Arabidopsis thaliana: one gene and its partner. The protein of the gene in region 2 interacts with the protein of the main gene of each other region in a biochemical or structural test. Each region holds a gene or a part of one and is shown on either strand. Other genes may lie near its edges.

Region 1 (3,932 bases), on a different chromosome or scaffold from region 2:
AATGTGAGTGTGTTTGACGTGAAAAGGAACAAAAGAAGGCAGTGCAACTGTAGAAGTAGATCACACTTATCCACTAAATAGGTGTAAAGGTATGATGTTTTTATTCGATGAATTTCATTGCAAGGATTTTCTTGAAACAAATAGATAGATTTGTGAAGTAGCCAATTGAGTAGATTGTTCATATGTACATTTGACTCATAATAGTTTTTATAGCCAAGTTGATTAATTAATCGAAGTAACTTACTTTCTAAATACTCATTATATATATATATATATATATATCTTACATTCTTTCTAAATTTCATATGAATATAATATATCAAATAAAGATATATGTCTTTCTAGAAACAAAAGAAAAAGAACGTAAAATAGGAAGAAAGTAAGAAAATTGAGGAAGTCTTTGCGACATTATCCCCAAGACAAAATGGGAACTATCATCATGTTAAGATTAACTTCCTTTTCTTCTCTTTCCTTTTGGTTCCTACCTTTGACTACATTTTATCTTCTTCTTTTACTTTACTCTTTTCTTCTACTATATTATATAAAAGCTGAATATTTATCAAAAATAAAATACGTATTCTGGTCAACATCTTTCGTCTAATAGTAATTTTGGTTGAAGTAAAAGATAGATAATCTAAAAGAAGATTATTAAAATCGTCGTGGAACGAGACCTATCATTTCCTGATCCCCCGAAACAAAAAATCATGAGTTGTAAGAGCATCCCCATCAGTTTTGAAAGCCCACAAAGAGAAGAAAGATTTAATTTGAAACCAAAAAGTTTTTTTGTCAAAAACTGAAAATGTCGAGAAATGGGCTGTAAGTAAGTTTATATAAAATTGGGCTTGTAACATAAGATTGAGAAATAATAATTTATGGCCCAATAAAGTGTTTTGAACAGATTTGGGTTTCGATAATGAGGAATAAAATGATTTCACAAAAAGTATAATATTATTTGGACAATGCCGACTAATCGAGGTTTTTAAAACCATTGTCTGTAACTAAAACAAGTATTGGTGCACACACGGTATCAATAAACCAACCTAGCCAATTTTCTCTTTAAAGAAACCATCAAAGCCAATAGAAAGTAATGTGATATGATTAACATAAAAAGAAAGTGGAACATTCCTCATTCAAAACCCGCACACTGAAGCCAGTATAAATAGCTTCGTGTATCTTTGGCATAGAATTGGAGACAGACAACTGATATAGGAAGATCCAACAATGGATTCATCGGCGGACATAGCAATATTAGTGGCAGATGAATGTAACCAAAAGGTGAATACAACGGCAGAGAAAGCATCGAATACAGCGGAGGTTGGGTGGTTGATGATGTTTGGGATTGAGGAGAAGAAGATTGAAAGTCTGATGAGGAAATTTGAAGCTAAATCTCAGTTTGCTGTGGCGGTTTCTAGTGGCTTTTTTCTGCTTAACTATGTTTCATCCTTGTACTATAAGTCACGTTTGAACCTCATGCTGGAAATCTAGTTTAGGCATGATGTTACTTTCATTTGCTTCTCTAATCACCAGAGGGCATGTTGCTTTAAGTTTCGAGTTCTACAAGCTTTGGTTTTATACTCTTTTGGGTTAGTTTTTAAGTACAGTTTCTTGTAAGTTAATGGAAACGGTGTCGTAGTAAGAAAAAACAAATCATCGTAGTAATTAAGCCTAATCCGATGCATTAATTAATCTCTGAAATTTGTTGGTTTGCACAAAAAAAAAAATTCCATTGTTGTTGTTCCACGGAACTCTAAAATGGAGAGTGGCGATGAGAGTCCGGTGGTTCTAATTACGGGATGTTCTCAGGGAGGAATTGGTCACGCGCTGGCCCGTGAGTTCACTGAGAAGGGATGTCGAGTGGTGGCGACGAGTCGATCACGGAGTACGATGACGGATCTGGAGCAAGATTCGAGGTTATTCGTGAAGGAGCTTGATGTGCAATCGGACCAGAATGTGAGTAAGGTTTTGTCGGAGGTTATTGATAAGTTCGGTAAGATCGACGTTCTTGTTAATAACGCCGGAGTTCAGTGCGTTGGACCTCTGGCGGAGACTCCAATTTCCGCCATGGAAAACACATTCAACACCAATGTTTTTGGTAATAAAGATTTGATTTTTAGTTTCAATTATTACATTTATTGGAGCTTCAACAGTTCTGGTTTTTTTGCTTATTAGTGAATCATTGGAATTTACAATCCATTTCAAATGTTGATTCTGTGGACATTCAAGGAACTCAAATACGTGTTGATCATGTGTGTTGCGTTTGGGCTGTTAGGAGAGTTTTGAAGAAGTGAATTTTTCAATGCAGGTTCCATGAGGATGACTCAAGCTGTTGTACCACACATGGTGTCTAAGAAAAAGGGAAAGATTGTCAACGTTGGAAGTATCACTGTTATGGCACCTGGTCCATGGGCTGGTGTCTATACAGCTACCAAAGCTGCTATTCATGCTCTTACCGATACTCTGAGGTTTGCTTTTACCGTTTTCAGATTTGGTTCCACTGTTTTAACTTATCAAACGCCGCTATTTGTGTCGTTTGAATAATCTTCCTATGTCGCATGCTGATATATATTCTGTTTGTTCTGTCAATGGAGATTTGATGGTAGTAAACTAAAAATTGTTGAAATGGTCTAATCTTTTTTTAAGGTGTGATCAAACTTGAGTATCATTATTTCTGAGGACTAAAGTCTGATGTTGGGTTAGGTTGATGATTCTTGATGTTCATGACAAGTGTAGTTGTTCAAATTATCCAGCACCGGATGGTTTTGGTTTGTCAATTGTTTTGTAATGTTTCCTGCTTAACGTCAGGTTGGAGCTTCGTCCGTTTGGGATTGATGTCATCAATGTTGTCCCGGGAGGAATAAGAACAAACATAGCAAACTCAGCTGTGGCAACTTTCAACAAAATGCCTGAGCTGAAACTATACAAGCCTTATGAAGAAGCTATCAGAGAAAGGGCGTTTATATCACAGAGGATGAATCCAACTCCTGCAGAAACATTTGCCAGAGACACTGTAGCCGCAGTGCTGAAGAAGAATCCACCCGCTTGGTTCTCGTCAGGCAGGTATTCAACCCTCATGGCAGTCATGTATCATATGCCCTTATGGCTCAAAGATTTTTTCCAGAAGCAGGTTTTAATGAAGAAGTGATAATCAGGTTGGGGTTTAAGACAGAATGTACCTTAAACACGAATGTAAAAGCTTTGTTCAAATTGTTAATTGAATCTCTTATGTCTCCATGTTTGAGTCAGTTCGGTTCTTAAGGTATAGAAGTATACATACATACAGGAAGGAGATAGAGAGTGAACAGGAGAAATTATTACATTATGTTGTAGAAACTTGTGGTACAAATATCTGTAACGGGAAAAGGTGAGGATTCTACAACCAGAGGAACAGTAGTTCTACTTTGATTTGACCCAACAATGTAACATCGAAACCGCATTCGAGCAGATAAAAAGGGTCAGAACTATCTAAAGCTATTAACTAACATCATTTCTATTTTAAGAATGGTGTGGAGCTCCGTAATACATTATCCCTGGTGGCTGGAAAGTTGGACCTTGTTGAGATTGCTGAGCTGAGTTCGACTGAGGAATTTGAGGCTGTTGATTACCTATCAAATGTGGTGGTGGTGGTGGTGGCGGAAGCCCAGGTGGCATTAACGGAATGTTGCCAAAGGCGTAAGGGTTATTCATTACCGGTGGTTTTAGGAACTGTGGTGGTGGTGGATTAGGTATTACATGGTACTGACCTTGTGTGGTAGGTGTCTGATTCTGGGAGTTGTTGTAAGAAGGGAATGAAGCATTAGTGTCTGAGACCGGAACTGTGCTCTCTGATTTGGATAGACCAGAAGTCTTTGTTGCTTCAGCTGCGAATGAAGATAGAACAGACTGCATTATCATATGTGATGAGGTTGACGCTGTGAGCATTGCAGCAATAGATG
Region 2 (3,778 bases):
GGAACAGGGCATCAAAGCAGGGTTTAAGCACTACTCTTGCATGGTGAATTTAGTATCAAAAGCTGGGTTAGTAGACGAGGCACTGGAACTGATAGAACAATCTCCTCCCGGGAACAACCAAGCAGAGCTCTGGAGAACTCTGCTAAGCGCATGTGTTAACACAAGAAACTTGCAGATAGGACTATATGCAGCTGAGCAAATACTGAAACTTGATCCAGAAGACACTGCAACACACATTCTACTATCAAATTTATATGCAGTAAATGGGAGATGGGAGGATGTTGCAGAGATGAGAAGGAAGATTAGAGGATTAGCTTCATCTAAAGATCCAGGATTGAGCTGGATTGAAGTGAACAACAACAATACACAAGTTTTCTCCTCAGGAGACCAGTCGAACCCAGAAGTTGTAAGTCAAGCTCAAGATGAATTAAATAGATTAAAGAGAAATATGTTGTGCAAATCATCATTCAATAAACTTGTCTGTTCAAATTAAAAGTTTGTTCTAAACAAGTTTAGTCATTTCCATTCGAAATCAATTAAACGAAACAGAGCAGAAGAAAGTACCAAAGTTAAGAACATAGAGCCAAAAAAACACAAACTTTCTCTGTTTTCTAGTTTCCGAAGACAAGTTTCTAAATTGACAAGACACAAACTAAGAGATCAACATCACCAATAGAGACTAAAAAAAGGAAGAGACTTTGAAGCCCTTTGATGAAGACAGAAGCTTTTCTCATTTGAGTGAGTTTCCCGGAGTTGTGATGGAAAGATCCGGCCACGCAAAGTACTCACCGGAGACAAATCCACCACCAGCGTTGCTCTCTAAACCCTCGAACTGCCACGTGGCTGGCATTGGAACAGCGTGATGACCACCGTTACTCCCAACATTCGTCGTTGTCGCAGTACCAACAGTTGAAAACGGCCACATCGCTCTTCCGAGTCCAAAGCTGACGTCATCAAAACCCGACCCGAGTCCGATTCCAAAACCTCCGATACCAATAACCGAACCGGATCCATGCGTAGCCGTCGCAGCAGCGTTATGGTTCAACAGAGTGGAGGTGAAACTTCCACAGAGAGATAAAGCACTTCCCTTTCCGTCGCTTTCAGTTACTGTGTGAGTAACGCCGTTAGAGATTGACGACTGAGGGAAGAGAACAGGCGTCGTTTGTAACGGAACACCGTTAGAGTTAGAGACGACACCAGAAACAGAGGAGGAAGAAGAGTTCGAGCAAGTGCGGGAACGTTTCGCGCTTTTACGAGTACCACCACCGACAGGAACGTCACGGAGAGTACCACCGTGAGTCCAGTAACGACGACAAGCTTTGCAGAAGTGACGAGGCTGAGAGAAGTTGTAGTTGTTGTAGTAACAGAACTTAGTGTTGGATGAGTCACAACGAGGACATGGAAGCTGTTCTTGCTGGTCAGAAATCGGAACTGTTACGCCGTTAGGTTTCATAGCTATTCGCCGTGGTTCACCGGAGTCAGACGTCGGCATAATCGGAGAAAGGTTGAAGCTTTAAGGGAAGTGATGCAAAAGACTGAAGCTTTTTTGGTTTTAGGGTTTAAAGGTTGAAACTTTAGGGTATGAGAGAGTGAGAATTTGGTTTTTTATGGAGAAGAAAGAGAGAGACATGCGCAGATAGAAATGGGGATGGAGAAGAAAGTCAGGCTTGTTTTTGACAGAGGGTGTTGGGTTGATTAGAGGCCACGCTCTCTATCTCTCTCTTCTCTCTTGTCTTTGAAATTTGTCTTTTTATGAGGATTTGTTTATTATTGTTTAGCTTTGGAATTGTTGAGTCGGCTATGGGATTATTGTAAACAGTGAAATGCTCTGTTTTTCATCCCTATGAAGTCGGCTCTCTTCATACGTAGATGGCTCTGTTTTCAAAGTTTTCAGTTTTGGACTTTGAACAATGGATAAACACACACACACACACTTAAAAACACATCTTTAATTGTGGTTTAATACTTGGATTTATAGATTTTGTTTAGCTTTAGTTGCTAAGATTCGAGTTAACTTATACTACATATGGATACAACTATTTAAAGAAGGAAAAAACTCACATAGAATTCATGGTGGTGAGTGACATGAAAAAAAAAACATGATTTGTAATGATGGTCGCAATATTTGACTATCACAATTCCCAAACAAGCTTATTTATGTGAAATAGGCACACACAAACGTTTAATTGAAATATTTGAGGCATTTGAAAATGAGTAAAACGTAAAAAAAAATTCCTTAAAAACATCAACAGAGATAAAATTCACCGGTGTGGTTTTAATCGATGACTATAATTTTTGGTACCTAATTATCGGGAAAACATCATGATACATATTTTAGTCTTTTCTTTACCAACCTTATAAATCAATTTTTTGACAAAAAATGAAAATAATTGTACTTATGTGGCTAATAATGCTAAAGTTTGGTCATGACGTTGCTTTTATGTTTAAAGTTTTTTTTTTTTTTTGTCACATATGTTTAAAGTTTAAATTAGTACTAACAACAGTCAAAACTAATAATAATGACATGATTTTTTATCTTTCGTGGAAAAACAAAGACACGTTGATAAAAAAAAAAAATGATACGGAGATAACGCATACAGAGAGAGAGAGAGAGTAGGTCGCAGTAGGCAACACAGGTTTGGAGACTATTGAGCTTATCAATGTAATGTACGGCCCTTTCCCAGTAATTGTATATTTATCTCTTAAGATTCTTTCCATTATTATAATGTACCAAGCAAACGTATGTTTCCGATAACAATTAGTACTACTAATAGAGTAATTTAGTTTTTTTCTTCTAAAGCATCCGTAAATGTCAGAAGTTAAATTTATGTAAGCTCATTAATTTTCTATCGTAAGCGTAACTATTCGGAATTAAAAAGAATAAAGAATGAATGTTCGAGAAAGTAGGAAACAAGGGACACGTTTTTCAATCGTCTACGTTAAATTTTTTACTTTAAAATGGATAATTGGATTTATCCTATTACTTTATTTTTTGAGAAGAATTAAAAATTATTTGTTTCTTTGTTGGATCGATCAAGCAGCTTTTGAAATTAAAGTCCAAAAAAAATTGATCTTGTTTCATTTGTTCGCTGTCTTAGAAAAGACATTACTATATTGTAATGTACCGGAGATCTTTTGTTTGTTTATTACTCTATTTAGAGATTATTCTTTTTGAACACTTTTGTTTTAAGTTTTTTATTTCAAAGTATATAGACAGGTGACTGTCGCTTATTTGTTCACAAATTTCAATTTAAAACGGTAGTGGCGGTGGGCGGTGGACTATGTTCGTGTTTCACACAATATAAACACTAAAATTGTATTATGAATGATTTGATTATGACAAGCGAATCAGAATCTATCTTAGTCCACATACGACTAAACAATTTGTATTGGAGTATGACTTCTTAAGGACCACATTAATCCCACATCAACACCAAATCTATGCAATAAATATATAGGGTTATACTAAGATTTAAAGTTACATCATGGGACGAAAACAAACATAACCTTTTAAAAAAGAGAAACATGTAAATCCAAATAATAAGTTTTGATAAACTCTCGTTTTAAGTTTTGTTAACACATGGAAAAGTCATTACAAATAACGTCTGGTGAGCATGACTAAATGAGTGTTTATATGATCTATCATTGTGATCATATTTGTTCCAATTTAAAACTGTATATATGTTATGATAAGGTGAGGGAGAGAATCGGATTCGGATAGAGAATGAGAAGGAGAGAGTCCGCAATCAGAGGAAATGTGTAATAATAATTCTTCACG

What was found.
Region 1: the proteins of OBP1 (region 2) and TGA4 form a complex in vitro, tested with the Arabidopsis thaliana proteins (one study listed by BioGRID).

What each region holds. Positions count from the first base shown.
Region 1 is NC_003076.8:3,142,502-3,146,433, forward strand, and holds the start of TGA4 (TGACG motif-binding factor 4), read right to left. Parts: upstream 1,753-3,932; 5' UTR 1,711-1,752; exon of another isoform or gene 1,699-1,710; intron 1,657-1,698; exon of another isoform or gene 1,486-1,656; coding exon of another isoform or gene 1,222-1,485; intron 1-1,221. Other genes in the region: AT5G10040 (uncharacterized protein), read left to right, coding at 1,222-1,485; AT5G10050 (NAD(P)-binding Rossmann-fold superfamily protein), read left to right, coding at 1,753-2,092, 2,303-2,462, 2,803-3,142; AT5G10060 (ENTH/VHS family protein), read right to left, coding at 3,493-3,932.
Region 2 is NC_003074.8:18,707,586-18,711,363, reverse strand, and holds OBP1 (OBF binding protein 1), read right to left. Parts: upstream 1,752-3,778; 5' UTR 1,493-1,751; coding exon 731-1,492; 3' UTR 528-730; downstream 1-527. Other genes in the region: AT3G50420 (Pentatricopeptide repeat (PPR) superfamily protein), read left to right, coding at 1-493. UniProt on the Arabidopsis thaliana protein: Transcription factor that binds specifically to a 5'-AA[AG]G-3' consensus core sequence. Enhances the DNA binding of OBF transcription factors to OCS elements.